Canis lupus familiaris: one gene and its partner. The protein of the gene in region 1 interacts with the protein of each later gene in a pairwise test. Links are inferred from orthologs where the notes say so. Each region holds a gene or a part of one and is shown on either strand. Other genes may lie near its edges. The genes, in order: FURIN and MARCHF1.

What was found.
Region 2: the proteins of FURIN (region 1) and MARCHF1 interact in a protein complementation assay, tested with the Homo sapiens proteins (2 studies listed by BioGRID). The link is inferred for Canis lupus familiaris from reciprocal best matches to the Homo sapiens genes FURIN and MARCHF1.

Annotation. Positions count from the first base shown.
Region 1 is NC_049224.1:53,849,427-53,853,224, reverse strand, and holds part of FURIN (furin), read left to right. Parts: intron 1-946; 5' UTR 947-1,106; coding exon 1,107-1,283; intron 1,284-1,682; coding exon 1,683-1,781; intron 1,782-1,890; coding exon 1,891-1,986; intron 1,987-2,334; coding exon 2,335-2,463; intron 2,464-2,571; coding exon 2,572-2,648; intron 2,649-2,943; coding exon 2,944-3,032; intron 3,033-3,545; coding exon 3,546-3,718; intron 3,719-3,798. UniProt on the Homo sapiens protein: Ubiquitous endoprotease within constitutive secretory pathways capable of cleavage at the RX(K/R)R consensus motif. Mediates processing of TGFB1, an essential step in TGF-beta-1 activation.
Region 2 is NC_049236.1:61,001,607-61,005,946, reverse strand, and holds the start of MARCHF1 (E3 ubiquitin-protein ligase MARCHF1), read left to right. Parts: upstream 1-1,282; 5' UTR 1,283-1,299; intron 1,300-2,279; exon of another isoform or gene 2,280-2,417; intron 2,418-4,340. UniProt on the Homo sapiens protein: E3 ubiquitin-protein ligase that mediates ubiquitination of TFRC, CD86, FAS and MHC class II proteins, such as HLA-DR alpha and beta, and promotes their subsequent endocytosis and sorting to lysosomes via multivesicular bodies.

The DNA of each region.
Region 1 (3,798 bases):
CTGGCTCAGCAGCCAGTGTTTGCCCTGGCTGCCTGGGCTCAGATTACGCAAGGCTGGTGGGCGTGGAGTGCTAGGAGGCTGCTGGGGGCCTCTGCGCCTAGGCCCGCTTCAGGCAGGGCTGGCGGCCCCAGTGTTCCCCAGGAAACAGCCTAAAAGAGGCTGGGTCCTTGACTTTGCTGATGGTCACCAGTCTGGGGGCTACCTGTGGAGGGAGGTGAAGTCCTCCACAGGAATCTCTGTGTTTGGCCCCCAAAACCCCATCCCTCTGAGGGTCACCCAGTGTTTCTTCCCAGGGGCTGTGGGTCTTTGCAGGTAACTCCCTGTGGCTGGGTCTGCTTTGCTGGGCCAGGAAACCCTAGTGAGCTGTGTAGACACCACCCATTAAAAAACTTTGAGAAGCCAACATTTTATAAAATGTACCTCGGAATTTGGAAAATATATAATGATACAAAGAAGAAAATAACAGTTATTTGTAATCATCACCATCTTGAGAGAATCGTTAACGTTTCAGCATGTGTTCTTCCAGATTTTGTTTTGTGGCTATATATAAGTATACATGTATAAATAGTTCTTTAAAAACAAAATGGGGTCATGTGTAGACATACTGCGTTATAACCCATGTCTTTCTTACTTTGTGGTGAACATTTATTCTGTTGTTGTTTCTGATTTTGGATGACTCAAGCCTGATACTCTTCATCCCACTTCCGTATTCTTGTGTGGAAGGAGGCTTAGGAGCCGTGTGTGTGTGTGTGTCTGTGTGTCTGTGTGTCTGTGTGGAGGGGGTCCGTCCATCTGGCTGGCTGGCTGACCTGGCGGGGAGCTGGATTCCCCCCGTCTCCCCCGGGGCCCTTTGCAGGCCTGGATTGAGCCATGGGGTGGGAAGGCAGCTTTAGCACGTGGCTGGGGTGACCGACTGTCTCCCCCTCTTCCTCCCTTGTTCCCTCAGAGCCGGCAGCCCTCCTCCCCTCACAGCCCTGCCCTGCTCGGCCCCATGCCCCCACCAGTCAGCCCCGGGCCACAGGCAGTGAGCAGGCACGCGGGAGCCGAGGCCCTGTGACCAGGCCAAGGAGACGGGGGCTCCGGGGTCCCGGCCACCTGTCCCCCCCATGGAGCTGAGGCCCTGGTTGCTATGGGTGGTAGCAGCAGCAGGAGCCTTGGTCCTGCTGGCAGCCGACGCCCGTGGCCAGAAGGTCTACACCAACACCTGGGCTGTGCACATTCCCGGAGGCCCAGCCGTGGCTGACAGCCTGGCACGCAAGCACGGCTTCCTCAACTTGGGTCAGGTAGGTGCTCTGACTGCCTGCTGGCCTAGGCATAGGGTGTTCACTGCGGTGGGGTTGGTGAGGGCAGGGGTTCAGGCACCAGGACCAGGAGCTGTGGCTGATCTTCTCCGGCCATCTGGGGAGTAGGCACGTTCTGGGTGGCAAGGGGGATGGGAGCAGTGGCTCCTCCTGCTCTTGGGCTTCTGACATAGGTTGTTCGGAGGAGCAGACTGTCCCAGGGAGGGTGAGTCCCTCTCCGTGCCCTGCACCTCCTCGCGGGGTCCTGGGCAGGGAACAGATGCCCTACCACCCCCTGCCGTTGCAAGCCTCCCCTTGCAGCCCGGTTGTCCACCCCCGTCCGCTGCCTCCCCAGGGACTGACAGATGGAAAGCCTAGCTCAGTCTCCCTGCTCCGTTGCAGATCTTCGGCGACTATTACCACTTCTGGCATCGAGCGGTGACAAAGCGGTCCCTGTCGCCTCACCACCCGCGGCACAGCCGGCTGCAGAGGGAGCCTCAAGTGAGTGCGGCCCCAGCCCCTCTTGCTGCCACCCTTCCCTTCCCCCTCTCTGGAGCCTCTCCTGGCCTTCCCTCCTCTGCCCACATGCCCCCCCCACACTCTGTCACAGGTGCAGTGGCTGGAGCAGCAGGTGGCAAAGCGAAGGATCAAACGGGATGTGTACCAGGAGCCCACAGACCCCAAATTTCCCCAGCAGTGGTACCTGGTACGTTGCTTCCTCAGGTCATGGGTCCTCCTCCCTGGCAGTATCCATCCGGCCACTGAGGGCTTTCATGGGAGAATGAGGCTGACTTGGCGGCCTCCCCTCATTCTTCCTCTTTCTGTCTGCCAAGCCCTGTCTCCCCAGCCCTTCCTGCTAAGCCTGGGGGTTGCCCATTCAGAGTTCTTTACACTCCCATGGAACCCAGCTGACCAAGGCTAGCATTGCAGGAGCAGGGGCAGATGGAGAAAGAGGTTTTAGGGGCAGTGAAGGGATTCCTCGGGGGTCCCCCTAATCTCACACAACCAGTCACATCCTGTAAGTCCTGGAGTGCTGGGGTTGGTGTCTCTGCAGTCTGGTGTCACCCAGCGGGACCTGAACGTGAAGGAGGCCTGGGCTCAGGGCTACACGGGGCATGGCATTGTGGTCTCCATTCTGGACGACGGCATCGAGAAGAACCATCCAGACTTGGCAGGCAATTATGTGAGGAGGTGGGGGAGGGAGGCACGATCCCTCTTGAGGGGTGTCTTGGTAGTCCTGCCCTGCCAGCTACAGTCAGACTGCTCCTGATGATGGCCATGTCCTCTCCAGGATCCTGGGGCCAGCTTTGATGTTAATGACCAGGACCCTGACCCCCAGCCTCGGTACACACAGATGAATGATAATAGGTAAGTGATGGCAGGCCCCTGGCCCCTGCCTTACCTCTCTTCTCTTGTACTGAGGAAGCAGGGTTGATCCTGGGTTAAGACCTGCTCCCCCAGTAGGCTGAAGTTCCCATAGTCCTGCTCCAGTTTTGCTCAGAGTAGAGGTGGCCACAGAGTGGACATTGTGGGAGGGGACTGTACACACAGGTGGGGCAGTGATCGTGGCTGGTGGGGGAGGGGGATGCTGATCCGTCCTATTCCTCAGGCTGCACCTGCCATGTTCTTTCCGCTGCTAATGTCATGCTGTTGGTCCCGGCAGGCATGGCACACGGTGTGCAGGCGAGGTGGCCGCAGTGGCCAACAACGGTGTCTGTGGTGTTGGCGTGGCCTACAATGCCCGTATTGGAGGTGGGTGTGGGACTTGACAGCCCTGTCCTTTGGGAGGGCCCTTTGGGATCTTCTCTACCTGCTTACCGTCTGGCCAGTGCCTGACACTTTGCCACTGGGGATCCTTTTGACCACACGGCTGTTCCTTAGAGAATCTTTGACAACTCAAGCCAGGCCACCAGTGCTGGTGGCCCTGTGCTGTGGGGCAGGGCGAGGGTTTCTTAGCAGGATCCTCCCTGAATCCTCTGACATCTTACATGGCAGGGTTTGATCATCACGGTCCCTTAAGAATGCAGAGGCTCATTCTAAGCCAGGATATGTGGTTGAAGGCAGGATGTGTTCTCTCTCCATTTGGGGTCTTGCCCTGGAGAGCCAGAGGCAGGCCAGGGAGTTAGGGCTCAGGGTTTCCCAGCACTGGCCTCTGCCTTCCCCTGCGTGTCCTCTAGGTGCAGGGCTGGGTGTGCTTTGGGGGGGGGGTGCCCCTAGAAGCTAGACCCACGCAGTATCCCTCTCCTCACCCCCCTCCACGGCCAGGGGTGCGCATGCTGGACGGCGAGGTGACAGACGCGGTGGAGGCTCGCTCTCTGGGCCTGAATCCCAACCACATCCACATCTACAGTGCCAGCTGGGGTCCTGAGGATGACGGCAAGACCGTGGATGGACCTGCACGCCTTGCCGAGGAGGCCTTCTTCCGGGGGGTTAGCCAGGTGCGGAGGCACGGGATTCCTCAGGAGGTGTCCCGGCTTGGCCTCTCCAGGACGCTGGGCAGTCTCTCCTAGCTTTCTCC
Region 2 (4,340 bases), on another chromosome or scaffold:
GGCAGCGCCAGCCGCAGCGTGTGCACCGCTCAGCCGCCCCTCGCGGAGGCTGCCTCGGCGCCGACCCCCAACCTCCTCGCCGGGGCGGGGGCTCCGGGGGCGCCGGTCCTTGCGCCGGCTGTCACCTAGCGGCCCCGGCCCTGGGGCGCCCGAGCGGCCGGGAGGCCAGAAAACTTTCCCCGCGCCCCTTGGCTTTGCCGTCAGCCTCCGCACCGACTCCGGCATCGTTGCCGCGGGGCGCGCACTTCGGGCCCGGGCTTCCCCCCCATCCCGGCCCCCGTCTGTCCCGCCCCCCCCCGGGCCCTCCGCGCAGACCCGTCCCGGCCGCACCGGGGACTGCGCGACCCAGAGCGGGCAGGTGGCGGGCGCCCCAGCTCCGCCCACATCCCTCTTCCCCAGCTCCGCCCCCATCCCGACCCCCGACCCCCCACCCCCCACCAAGTCCCTCCGCGCAGACCCGTCCGGGCCGGGCCGGGCCGCGCCGGGGACTCCGCGACCAAGAGGGGGCAGGTGGCGGGCGCCCCAACCCCGCCCCCATCCCGCCGCCCAAGCTCCTCCCGCCAGCACCGCCCTCACCCCTCTCCCCCCGCAGGTCCGCCCCCCGACCCGCTCCTTTCCTGCCCCGCCTCGCCCCTCCGCGCAGACCCGTCCGGGCCGCACCTGGACTCTTCGACCGAGCGCCGGCAGGTGGCGGGCGCCCTCAGCCCCGCCCCCATCCCCGCCCCCATCCCCATCCCTCTCCCCCCCAGCTCCGCCCCCCGCCCCCCTCCCCGCCCCCGACCCTCCGCGCAGACCCGTCCCGGCCGCGCCGGGGACTCCGCGACCGAGCGCGGGCAGGTGGCGGGCGCCCCCAGCTCCGCCCCAGCCCCGTCCCCATCCCGGCCCTAGTCCCGCCCCCGGCCCCGCCCCCACCCAGGCCCCGCCCCCTCCCCCCCGCCCCTCCGCGCAGACCGTCCGGGCCGCGCCGGGGACTCCGCGACCGAGCGCGGGCGGGATGCGGGGGCGCCCCCGCTCCTCCCCGCCCGGCTCCTCCCCGCCCCGCCCCGCCCCGCCCCGCTCGCCCCCGTCGGCGGCGGGGACTGCTGGCGTCGGCCCGCGCGGCTCCCCTCCGCCGGATGACATCATGGGAGCCGAGTGAGGCCGGCCCGGCGAGGGGGCGGGGGAGCTGCGGGCCGAGCCGCCGCGCGTCCGCGGGTGGGGAGGAGCGCGCCGCCCGCCGCTGACAAAGGCTGGAGCTGCTGCGCCGCGGGCCGCCTGTCGCGCTCGGGCCGGTGGCCGCCCGGGCCTCGCCGTCCGCCGGTGAGTGGCTCTGCCGGGAGCGCCCCCGCCCCGCCCCGCCCCGCCCCGGCCCGGCCCCGGCCCCGGCCCCCGACCCCGCGCGGCTCGGCGCGGCCCCGGCTCGGAGCGCGGGCGGCAGGTGCCGGAGCGCGGGCCGGCGACGAGCGAGGCTCCGGGGGGGACCCCGGCGGCTGCAGCGCGGGCCCGCTCCGTCCGGGCCCCGCCTCTCCGGGGCCGCGGGGCGCCCACCGCGCCCGCCCGCCGGGTCCTGGCCGCCAGCCGCGCCCCCGGGAAGCGCGCCGGGGCTCCCGAGGGCAGCCCGCGTCCCGGCGGCGGCGCCCAGTGCCCAGGTGCCCGGCGGCCGTCGGGTGGGCTCGGGCTCCGGGCGCCTCGGGTGCTGCCGCCGGCGGGGCTGGGAGCGGACTCGGACCCGGGGTGTCCTGCGCCCCCGGCGGCGGTCGCTGCTGCAGGCGCCGGGCGAGCCTCGCAGCTCCCCGGCGGCCGGCGGACCGGAGTCTCCGCGAGCGCTCGAGGCACCGCCGGGTCGGGGACGTCCGGGGCGCCCGGGGCAGCAGCGCGCTCGGCGCAGGGGCGCGGCCGGGCAGGTGCGCGGCCGGGCAGGTGCGCGTTTTCCCGGGGCGCCCGGGGCAGCCGCGCTCTCGGCCGCAGGGGCGCGGCGGGGCGGGACAGGTGCGCGGCCGGGCAGGTGCGCGGCGGGGCGGGGCGGGGCAGGTGCGCGGCCGGGCAGGTGCGCGTTTTCCCGGGGCGCCCGGGGTCACTCGTAGTGTCGGGCGGTCCCTGCGGGCCGTGGGGGCTCCAGCGCGGGGATGCGCCGCCTCGCCGGGGCCGGGCTTGGGTGCTGCGGGGACTCCGGGCTGCGGGAGCCGCAGGACCCCCGCCGACCCCCGCGCCCCGAGCCCCGCGAGCCCCGCGCCATCAGCGAATTCCCCCCGTTTGCCCGGACTCCGGCTTCCAGGTCGCAGAGCACTGGCGGTACCTACCGGGATGTCCGATTTCAACGTGGAGCCATTTCCAAAAGAAGCACGAAAGTTTGCTACTTTGGGGCTCCGTTACCTTCTGTTGGGGCTTCGTCCGCCGCGATCTAGAGCAGCCGAGGTGTGAGCCGGGGCCGGCGTGGGCCGGGGCGGGGCGGGGCGCGCCGACTGCCCGCGGTTCGCGGCCCAGGTTCCAGGGCCCGCCTCCAGCCTCCGAGCGGGGCCCGGCCGGTGGAAGAAAGTAACAACCTGTTATAACGCAAATCGCAATTTTACTTTCTTTTTCTTGAAAAGGCTGGCTGGCTTGCCTTGAGACCCTTGCTTTTTCTTTAAAGGACAGGTGATCTTTCCAATAGCGTAGAATAAAAGTGAATTTTCTTGACCAGCGATTGATCTTCTGGTAAAGTGGGAGGTCTCTTTAGAACAGACCTAGCGGAGGATGAGTGGGATTTAACCATGTGGTGGAAGTGGAAAAGGAGCTGCCTGGATGAGATGAGGGAGGGAGATTGTACTGGATGTAACTGGTGGGACTAAAAGGATGTCACATCAGTTTTTGGCTTTTGCAAAAGCTCACTATTGGCCTTTACACACTCGTCGCTCCTCCTGGGAAGTCAGTAATTAGATTTTTGATTGTGTTAGGTTATATTAAGAGGTCCCTGATACGAGCTTACCCGGATCCAGGGCTTTTGGGGTTAGCAGCGACATTTACTCCGTGATTCAGAAGTAATTTTATTTCATTGTTTCCTGACTTCTCATCACAAAGGGCTCCACCTGTTTGTTCAAAAGTTTTATTGCTCTTTAACTTTGCTGTACGCTTCCCTTTATAGTAAAAGTTAAGGGGCTTTAACATGAAGGTTCTTAGAGAACCTGTTGCCGATGTTGGCTGCCTTGCTTACATATTAGAGTGACAAAATCTCTTTGAAATAAGCCCAGTGAACATAGGGGCTGCTGATGTGCTTATGCGATGGGGTGTACCCAACATAAAAATACGCATTTGTTTCAAATATATGTAATCCCAGTCAGACAGTGAGTGAGCAGTCGTAAGCAGGAGGCATACGGCATTTGGCTAGTGGTATTTGGGAGATGATAGTTCCTTTAACAATAGAATATGTTATTCCCTTTATGTGGTAAGTAAAAATCTCCATTAAAGGTAACAGGTTACGTTTTATGTTTGAAATCTTTGGCTTTGAAAATATTTACCCAAGAAGGTAAACAATGACCTGGGTGCATACACTAGACATACACTAGAATATGTGAGGAAAGTGCTCAGAAAGTGTAAGCATCTTATAAATATATATGATTTCATATATTTGATAGGCAGTACAATGTTGTCTTTAAAAATACGAAGTAAAATAATATCCCTGAGCTAGAGAGAGAATATTATCACGATGTTTTTTAAGGTATTCACAAATACTTGGGCATCTTGTTACATCCGGTTGCTTAGCTGGGGAGGTAAGAAGAAGTTGCCTTATAAGACAAAGGTAAAACTATAGTATCTTGCCCAGAGGAGGCAACAGGGATGTTTCAAGGTCATAGAAAAGAGCGTGATGTCAGAATGCTGGAAGATTCCTAAGAAGAGAGTATGTAGGAGGACTAGGTTTCTATTAGACGGCCTCCTGTTTTCGCTGTTGCAGTTGTCTGATTTGAACAGCTACTGTAGGGTCTGTAACACAGCGAATCGCTCTGCCTTCCTTGAGGCAAAATGGTATCTTGAACTCAGTCAGAGATGGTTTTATGGGCTTTTCCATGCTGTTTTTCAACTTCCAGTTTAAGGATGTTTTATGGATCACAAAACATTGCAGTGTTGACTTTTGTGTAGGCCTTCCATACGGAAATTGGTCAAGTAAAATCTTTTTGACTGAGAAGTTTTGGTGGCTCAGCTTCTTTGGAATTGTAAAGTTAAGAGTGATAGTCAACTATTGTGAAACGGTAGAAAACATTCCAGAGTGTGAGAGTATCTTATTTATTGGGTTAAAATAGCATCGTTAGTGGAGTTTTTAAAAGCCAAATTCAAGGCAATTTGACACAAAATCTCCAGAAGCCAGAATCATCCTTTTGTTTCGTATT